2 linked regions of the Callithrix jacchus genome follow. The protein of the gene in region 2 purifies or fractionates together with the protein of the main gene of each other region. This does not show direct contact. Links are inferred from orthologs where the notes say so. Each region holds a gene or a part of one and is shown on either strand. Other genes may lie near its edges.

Region 1 (4,413 bases), on a different chromosome or scaffold from region 2:
GCCCCTGAATCTTTTTCTGTTTCTGTCCCTCTCCATACTTATAGGAGCCACAAAAGGTTCAAATGAAATTAGAGTTCAAGAAGACTTCGGAGGCCTGAACAAGTGAAAGGTGCTAACACCTTCACCATCATCGCTAAGCAGAGCCGGGAAAGGCCTGAGGCCATCTCTGCTGTCAATATGACATTGATCAATGTCCTGACTAATGACTGTGGTGGCCTTTCAGTGTTAACACTCATCCAAGCATCATTGAGATCATCAGTAGTTGTGAGCATGGAACAATGTTCCCTGCTGTGGGCATGTATACATTGTATCCTTATTTATAAAGTTAGTATGGGTTTGTACATGGATAACATTATTTAATTTTGTTAAGTTACAACTCCACATAGTCATGTGAACCAACTGGAATCGCAGATGTTTTGGGATTTATTTCCGAAAACATATACTACAGAGAGAAGTAAAAGGCTTTCAAAGTCATTGAACAGTGCTGGACCACTTTTCTGCTAAAAGAAAGTCATTGGAGAGGTGGGGTGGGGATGGGATTACAAAGTCTCCACCTACCTTGGCAACATGAATGACTCTAAAATAATGTGGGTCAAATACCTTTGCAGGAAACATCTTAACCACCCCACATCAGGACCTCTCTTCCAGTGATAAGTAGAGAAGAGCAGTGCTGAGTGGAAATTCTCATTTAGAACACTAAATGTAAGTAACTCGGTGCTGGGTAACTTTGAGTCAACAAAGCCCCTCAAATCCCGGTTTTAGAAACCACAACAGAAAGGGCCAGTAGGCTTCAGATACCTTGGGGACCAGCTCTATTTCTTCATCTCCCTGTGTCCTCAGTTTTGCATACTGCCAGCTCACAGCAGGCCTTCATTCCTTTTTCCAAGTAATCTCAAACTGAGCACCTACTATGTACCAGGCACTGGGGCTATCATTTTGGACAAAACAGATGAAGCAGTTTTCATGGAGCTTCCACTGTAGTGGTGAAGACTATCAACCTGCAGACAGATCAGTATAACTCTGGCTGCTGCTATAAAGGAAATATTAGCTGAATAAAGGGCCCAAGTGGCTTATCCCAAATCACAGCATACTAAATGGTGGAAGAGGCCAAACTCAAGTCTCCCAGCTCCTATTTTCTCTTCCCTTATGTCTGCTGCCCTCTATCCTTCACTCAGCAAAAGCGCCATACATTTGCATCAAAAGAGGCCCAGTCACCAGAGGCTCTATGATCTAATGAAATTTCTTCAAGCCTCAAAGTGCTTACCTGCTTACCTCCAAATGAGAATGGAGGGACTAACTGGATCTCACCCTTTTCCAACAAAGCTTACTCTTTCAGAGAAGGCTTTAGTAAGTCCTGGGATCTTGCAGTACCTACTCGCCAGGACATGGCTTTAGGGGTCGGCTGTACAGAGAAAACATCCCTGCAGCCCACCAGTTTATTGGCTAGTTCTATAGGGCAAGTCAGACTACTGGCACCTGCTTTGATGCAGCAGATTCCTCACGTATTTATTAAGCAGATTTACTAATAAGGTCAGATGACTAAATTCAGACAGTAGACGTAGGTTCAAAATCACCAAGCTGCAAAGAATCAAGGAGCCTCTCTATGTGAATAGAATTTACTGCAATAAATAACAGTAACATCGTTTACAAAATGCCTAGTATGTAGTAGGGGCTTTGTTTGTACTAAACAGCCCCTGAGATATATATGCTCTCTCAAAGATGAAGAAGCCCAGAGTTCAATAATCGGTCCCCCAAAATATACAGCCAGAAAAGTGCAAGGCCTGGATTCTAAGCTGGCAAAGAAGGGCGAATTGGGGATAATTAACACACACGGGCATGCAAAGAAACGAAGACACAACCACAAGTCCACAGGGTTGGCAGGCGGTTGGAAAGTTACAAATGCACCGCAAGGAGAAGATACCACCATAGGCCCAGAGAACGCAGGAAAGTGGGAACTGACTCTTAACGCCCTTCCCCCAAGGCGAAGAAGGAAAGGCAACCCCCGAATTCTTAAAATAACTCTCGCTTCCTCTCAGCCGGCAAATGCACCGGACTGCTCCTCTGCAGGCGGAGAGGCGCCGCAGCGGGAGGGTGAGCTCCGGCCTCTGCCGCAGCCCCTCGACGTCACGCTCCTGCCGGGGGCCACCAGGGAAGGCAGCTGTCCGCGGGCCTGGGAGAGGGCGTCGGCCAAACCCCACCTCCCACTTTCTGGGGACCCAGGGTCCAGAGGGGAGACCAGATTGCACAATCGGAGGAGTCCTCTCCAGGATCCCCGCCGCGCGCCCAGTCCGCAAGGACAGGGGCTTGCCCGCGGTGCACGAGAAGCCGCCGGTGCGGGGACAGCAGCCGGTCCTCCGGCCCGCGCCGGGAAGGGCCCGCGCCGGGAAGGACCCGCGGTGAGCCCGCCCCCACGCCCTCACCTCCCATCACCCTCCTGCGCTGCTACGCGCGCGGACACCTGCGGAGCCCGAGTCCCAGCGCCCTAGCTCCCCTGGGCCGGGTCACCCGCTGGCTGAAGAGATCAGCGAGTCTTCGCCGCCAGGGCCGGAGGCGGTGCGGCCAGGAAGCTGCCGCCGGCCGCGCGGATGCCCCAGGCCCCGAGCTGACCTGCGCCCGTCACTCCGGCTGGTGGCACAGCCGCCGCCCCTGCACCCACCGCCCGCCGCCCGCGCCCACCCTGGGCTCGCGCCAAGGACTCACCCGCTCGCGGTGAAAGTTTCGGGGCGGCGGAGCTCCACGGTGACTTGAGTTCAGAGCGGGGGGCGCGACGGGGCGGCCCAGCGGGACCCGCGTAGGGGGAGGCTGCTGGCTGGGAACTCCGGACGCGCGGCGAGGGGCTGCGGGCGCGGGCTCGGGGGTGGCGCGGCCGCCCAGCTTGCCGCGGGCTGGAGGCTGCAGCTAGTCGGGCCCGGAGGCGCCACTGCCGGGGAGCTAGCGGCAGCGCGGCCCGGCGCGGCGGGAGAGGAACTGGCTGTCTCTGGGCTCGACCGAGAGGTCCCAGCTACTTCCTGGTGCTCGGATTTGCATATTGAGCCCGGAGGGCGGGGAAGTGACCGTTTGGTCCCTGCCCAAGGTTTGGGTGTTTGGTGTGGCCGTCGCGCAGGGTTTGAAGGCACAGAAACCTGGCGACTCAGCCTGCAGCTCCGGCGAGAGGAGCAGCCCGGGCCATCCTTCTGCCGGGACCGACGGACGGACAGGTCTCCGGGTAGCCTCGGCTTCGCAGGCGCATCGACGACATCTCGCGGGTCTCCTTTCCTTTCCTTCCGACCCCTCCTCAAGGTGTTAGGAAAGGGGTGTTCCCGGGAACGGAGGAGGTGAGCTCTGATCCCTTCCAACACTAGGGGGTCTGTAGAGAGAGGATGCGATGTGCCGGGTTGAGGCTCGGGGTCTCGGGCTCTTAATAATCATTACAAAGTAAGTTCCTTCAGGGTGTGCAGGGTTCAGGGCAGGCTGTTCAGGGCATTGATGGGGGAGGGGATGACATGGAGTCAAATGGCCCGGCAAGTTCTCCGTTTCTCAAAGCCTCAGTTTCCCCCCAGAAAATGGATGTAAGGATGCCTATCGTGTACTTTTCTGTACCCGGGCCGCACCGCCCGCATGCGGGAATGCTGGCTGTTACTTCGTTCCTGCTACAGCTGCATGCCGGCATGCAGGGCAGTGCTTGCAAGTAGCAGATGCCCAACCAGTATTTGCTGAAAGAATGTGTGACCGCGGGCTCAAGCTCATGTTCAACTTATCCAAGATGTAAGATTAGGCTCGGACACCATGGATACCCACGTCGAAGCCAGATTCTGTTCACTGGGATCCCAGCATTGCATTACCTTGAAGAATTTACAAGGAAGCAAATTGGACACTGTGGGAGACTTGGTCTTTGCATTAATAGCAAACATTTACAGAGGGCCTGATGGGCCAGACAGTGCCCAAAGCACTTGCTTTCCCTCTCAACAATGTTCTGAAGAGGCTGGCCCCAGCTGCAGTGCAAGAGGTCAAAGCAGCTGCCTTGTGACACAATCTGATACGGCAATCTGAGTACTAAGTTTGCAAACTTTAGTACTCCTTTCCATAGTAACGAATTCCTTAAAAGAAGAAAAGGAGGGTGGTTTATATCTGTGATGTTCACTGGTGTGTAGTTCAGTTAGTTTGCTGCTGAAGAGAAGAAGGGGTGGGTTACCCATGGGAAGGTGTGTGATTGAAACTTACCAAGAATCCTATGGAAAAAAAACAAAACAAAGCAAAACAAAAACAAAGAATCCTATGGAGTAATTCACCTGAGAGCCTATTGCCTGCTCTTTTCTTCAGAATGACCTCTCAAATATGTTAATCCTACATTCAAGTATCTATTGCTACTGATGAATCCTTAAGATCCTGGCTAAACATGAGTGGCAAATAAGAGTAGGGTTCAAAACGTTTGGT
Region 2 (3,452 bases):
GTTTCACAATGGCGTCCAAGCTAGTCTGAAACTTCTGGGCTCAGGCAATCCTGCCTCAGCCTCCCAAAGTGCTGAGATTACAGATGTAAGCCACCGTGCCCAGGCTATACTTGTCTTTTTAAAATCTACTTAGTTTACTTGACCTCTATAATTATTTTTCCTCTTTCTTCTAATAGCTTCTCAGTATGATTTTCCACTATGTTAAGACAAGTAATTGACCCATTATTACATTTGAAGTTTTCTCTAAGCAACCTTCCCATTCCCGCTGCACCTAAGCTGTGTGCTCACTAGCCCGGATTCACAGCTGTCATCCTGAAGCTTCTGTCTGCCGTCCTGTCTTTTCCCAAGTGATCCACCCATCTCAGGCTCCTAAAGTGCTGGGATGACAGGCGTAAGCCACCATTCCCAGCCATTCTTTTCCTTTTTAAAAAAACTTTTTCTCTTCTTTATTTTTAGTGGAGATGGGGGTCTCACTATGCTGCCCAGGCTGGTCTTGAACTCCTCGGCTTAAGTGATCCTCCTGCCTTGCCCACCCAAAGTGCTAGGATTACAGACGTGATCCACTGTACCTCGTGCAGTGGTATAGTTTTACACTCATTAGATGATCAAGAAATGCCTAAATGCCATAATAAATGTAGAACTCTACTTTGAGAAGACCTAACATTTCCTTCAGAAAGTAATTATGAGAGGGGTGGAGATGGTGCATTATCTTATTTTATTTTTATTTTAAAAATTTATACATAATTGTACATATTTATGGGGTAGATAACAATATTTCAATACATATATACCATGTGTTATGATCAGATGGGATAATTAGCATATTCATCACTTTATTTTTTGAGATAAGGTCGGGCTCTGTCACTCAGGCTGGAGTGCAGCGGTGTGATCTCAGCTCACTGCAACCTCTGCCTCCCGGACTCAAACCCTTCTCCCACCTCAGCCCCCGGAGTTGCTGGGACTATAGGCATGCATCACCACACCTGGCCGATTTTTGTTTTCTGTTTTGTTTTGTTGTGGTAGAGATGGGGTTTCACCGTGTCGCACAGGCTGATCTTGTTTTCTAAAGTGCAGGAAAGCAATCAACAGGCTAGTTTTACACTAATGAAAATGAACGACATACCCAAACTGCCCGCAAGGCCTGTTCTAAGAAATGAGAGGAGTGAGTTAGACTGCAGTGGAAGATGGAGTTGGGGTGAGTGTTTCTGGGGAAAACCAGATGAGCACAGAGGGCCAAGGGGAAGCATGGAGGGTTCTGCGCAGAGGATGGAACAGAGTCGGCCGTGAGAGCTGGGAACGTTAGAGATTCATCTGGAGCCCGTATTACAGAAGGTTGAAGAAAGAGGCTGGTATGTGGTCCAGCCAGGGTACCATGTGATCCACAGTGTGCAGGGAGGAGACTCCTCCCATCCCAAATGGAGGGCGTCCTCGGACAGGGAGCCAGGCAGACACTAGCTGAACGGCTCCTTGATGGAGCACCAGGAGGAGGCAACATGGCCTCCTTTCCAAGCTGTAGCCTCAACCCTCCTGCTCCCATGCTCCACGTACACCACAGTGTTTGAGTTGTGTCCCATGCCATGATCCATCCCTTGGATATGACCATGCCTGGGGTTCACTGGTTATGAGGAGAACCCGTGGCTGTGAACATCTGGTCGACCTCCATCCTGACTCCCGTGAGATTTCCGGGGCTGTGGGAGGGGTGGGAGTGGCCTCTGCATAGCCCTGACCCTGTGCCGCGGGCGCTTCCTCCGGCTGTGCCAGTCCTCTGCCAGAAATCCCGCCAGGAGTATTAGGATCACAGCTCCGAGGCATATCCGGACCAGGTTGCCCTTGGTGTAGTACTGGCGGGAAGGACCTGGAGGAATGAGGAGAGGCAGGAGCAGGTGAAGAAGCCCATCTCCAGGACCCCCTCCAAGCCACATCTTGGGCTTCTCAGAGATCCTATTATCCTCTACCAGCTGGGATGCCATTCTCTTTCCTGGAGGGTTCCCCCACTCCCCAGTAGGAGTCAGGGCAAGATGACCCCAATTCTCTAAGTAGCACCTCTCCCTCATGTGCCGTCACAGGGCTCTGAGACAACCCCTTCCCAGACACATGCTGCCTTGTTAGCCAATGCGTTGCAAAAGAGAAGACAGTTATAAGGGGCGGGGAAGAGATGGAATCTCTTTCTCTGACCCTTCAGAAAATCTCAACCTTCCCAGCTGAACTTAATGCCCAATTCTGAACCCCATACACTGATATTCCGCCTTCTCTCTACACACTGGAACCCAAGATCTCAGAGCTGCAGTTTCTGTATAGAGAAAGGAGTTGGCTTTGGGTGAGAAGGGAGAGGGTCTGGAGAGGATGACTCACCAGCTGGAGAGCCTGACTCCTTTGGACTGGTGGTGATACTCCTAGAAGTCTCTGGGAACCAAAAAAAGGCTAAGTGTGAAATGAAACCATATTCCCTCCCCCATCACTGTCCCTACCCTTAACACACACACTTGGGAGGCAGAATTCCTTATTACAGAGCATGGGCTGGGCACAGTGGCTCACCCCTGTAATCCCAGCACTTTGGGAGGCTGAGGCAGGAGGATGGCTTGAGTCCAAGAGTTCAAGACCAGCCTAAGCAACTTGGAAAAATCCTATCTCTACAAAAAATACAAAAATTAGCCTGGTATGATGACACATGCCTATAATCCCAGCTACTCAGTGGGGGCTGAGGCAGGAAGATCACCTGAGCCCTGAGAGGTTGAGGCTGCAGTGAGCCAGGATTGCTCCACTGCACTCCAGCCTGGGAACCAGAGCAAGACCGTATCTCAAAAAAAAAGCATGAACTAAAGAATCAGCCTGTCCAGATTTGACACCCAAGGCTATCACTTATCAGCATCTGTGAAGCAGTTTTCCCTCCTATGTGTCCGGTAAAATTAATGATATCCCTTATAGGTTGGTGTGAAAGTCAAGATGATAATGGCAGTAAAACAAAGCACGCTGCTTGACATATAATGAGCACCTCATACATGTCAGCTCTCTATTCCTCAAGCATCTCCTGAGACAAGCCAGGTACGCAGCCATGTGCTGCGCCTCACGAACCCAAATATTAACAAGACACTGTCCACCTGCAGTTCCCAGGCTATTGGAGGAGACCAAGAAGTAAAGCGGGAAAGCGGGGATGTGTGTGTGTGTGTGTGTGTGTGTGTGTGTGTGTGTGTGTGTGTGTGTCAAGTTGGGATCTCGCTCTGTCACCCAGGCTGGAGTGCAGTGGCGTGATCTCAGCTCACTGCAGCCTCCACCTCCTGGGTTCAAGCGATTCTCCTGCCTCAGCCTCCCAAATAGCTAGGATTACAGGCACGGCACCCACCACCACGCCCAGCTAATTTTCTTATTTTTAGTAGAGACAGGGTTTCACCATGTTGACCAGGCTTGTCTCTCCTGACCTCAAGTGATCCACCCACATTAGCCTCCCAAAGTGC

Evidence for each region.
Region 1: the proteins of GP6 (region 2) and LYN purify together in Homo sapiens (affinity purification with western blotting; 5 studies listed by BioGRID and IntAct, with this or other methods). This does not show direct contact. The link is inferred for Callithrix jacchus from reciprocal best matches to the Homo sapiens genes GP6 and LYN.

Annotation. Positions count from the first base shown.
Region 1 is NC_133517.1:12,280,152-12,284,564, reverse strand, and holds the start of LYN (tyrosine-protein kinase Lyn), read right to left. Parts: upstream 2,970-4,413; 5' UTR 2,701-2,969; intron 1-2,700. UniProt on the Homo sapiens protein: Non-receptor tyrosine-protein kinase that transmits signals from cell surface receptors and plays an important role in the regulation of innate and adaptive immune responses, hematopoiesis, responses to growth factors and cytokines, integrin signaling, but also responses to DNA damage and genotoxic agents.
Region 2 is NC_133523.1:47,883,843-47,887,294, forward strand, and holds the end of GP6 (platelet glycoprotein VI), read right to left. Parts: intron 2,404-3,452; coding exon 2,353-2,403; coding exon of another isoform or gene 2,276-2,352; exon of another isoform or gene 2,099-2,275; intron 1,856-2,098; coding exon 1,620-1,855; 3' UTR 709-1,619; downstream 1-708.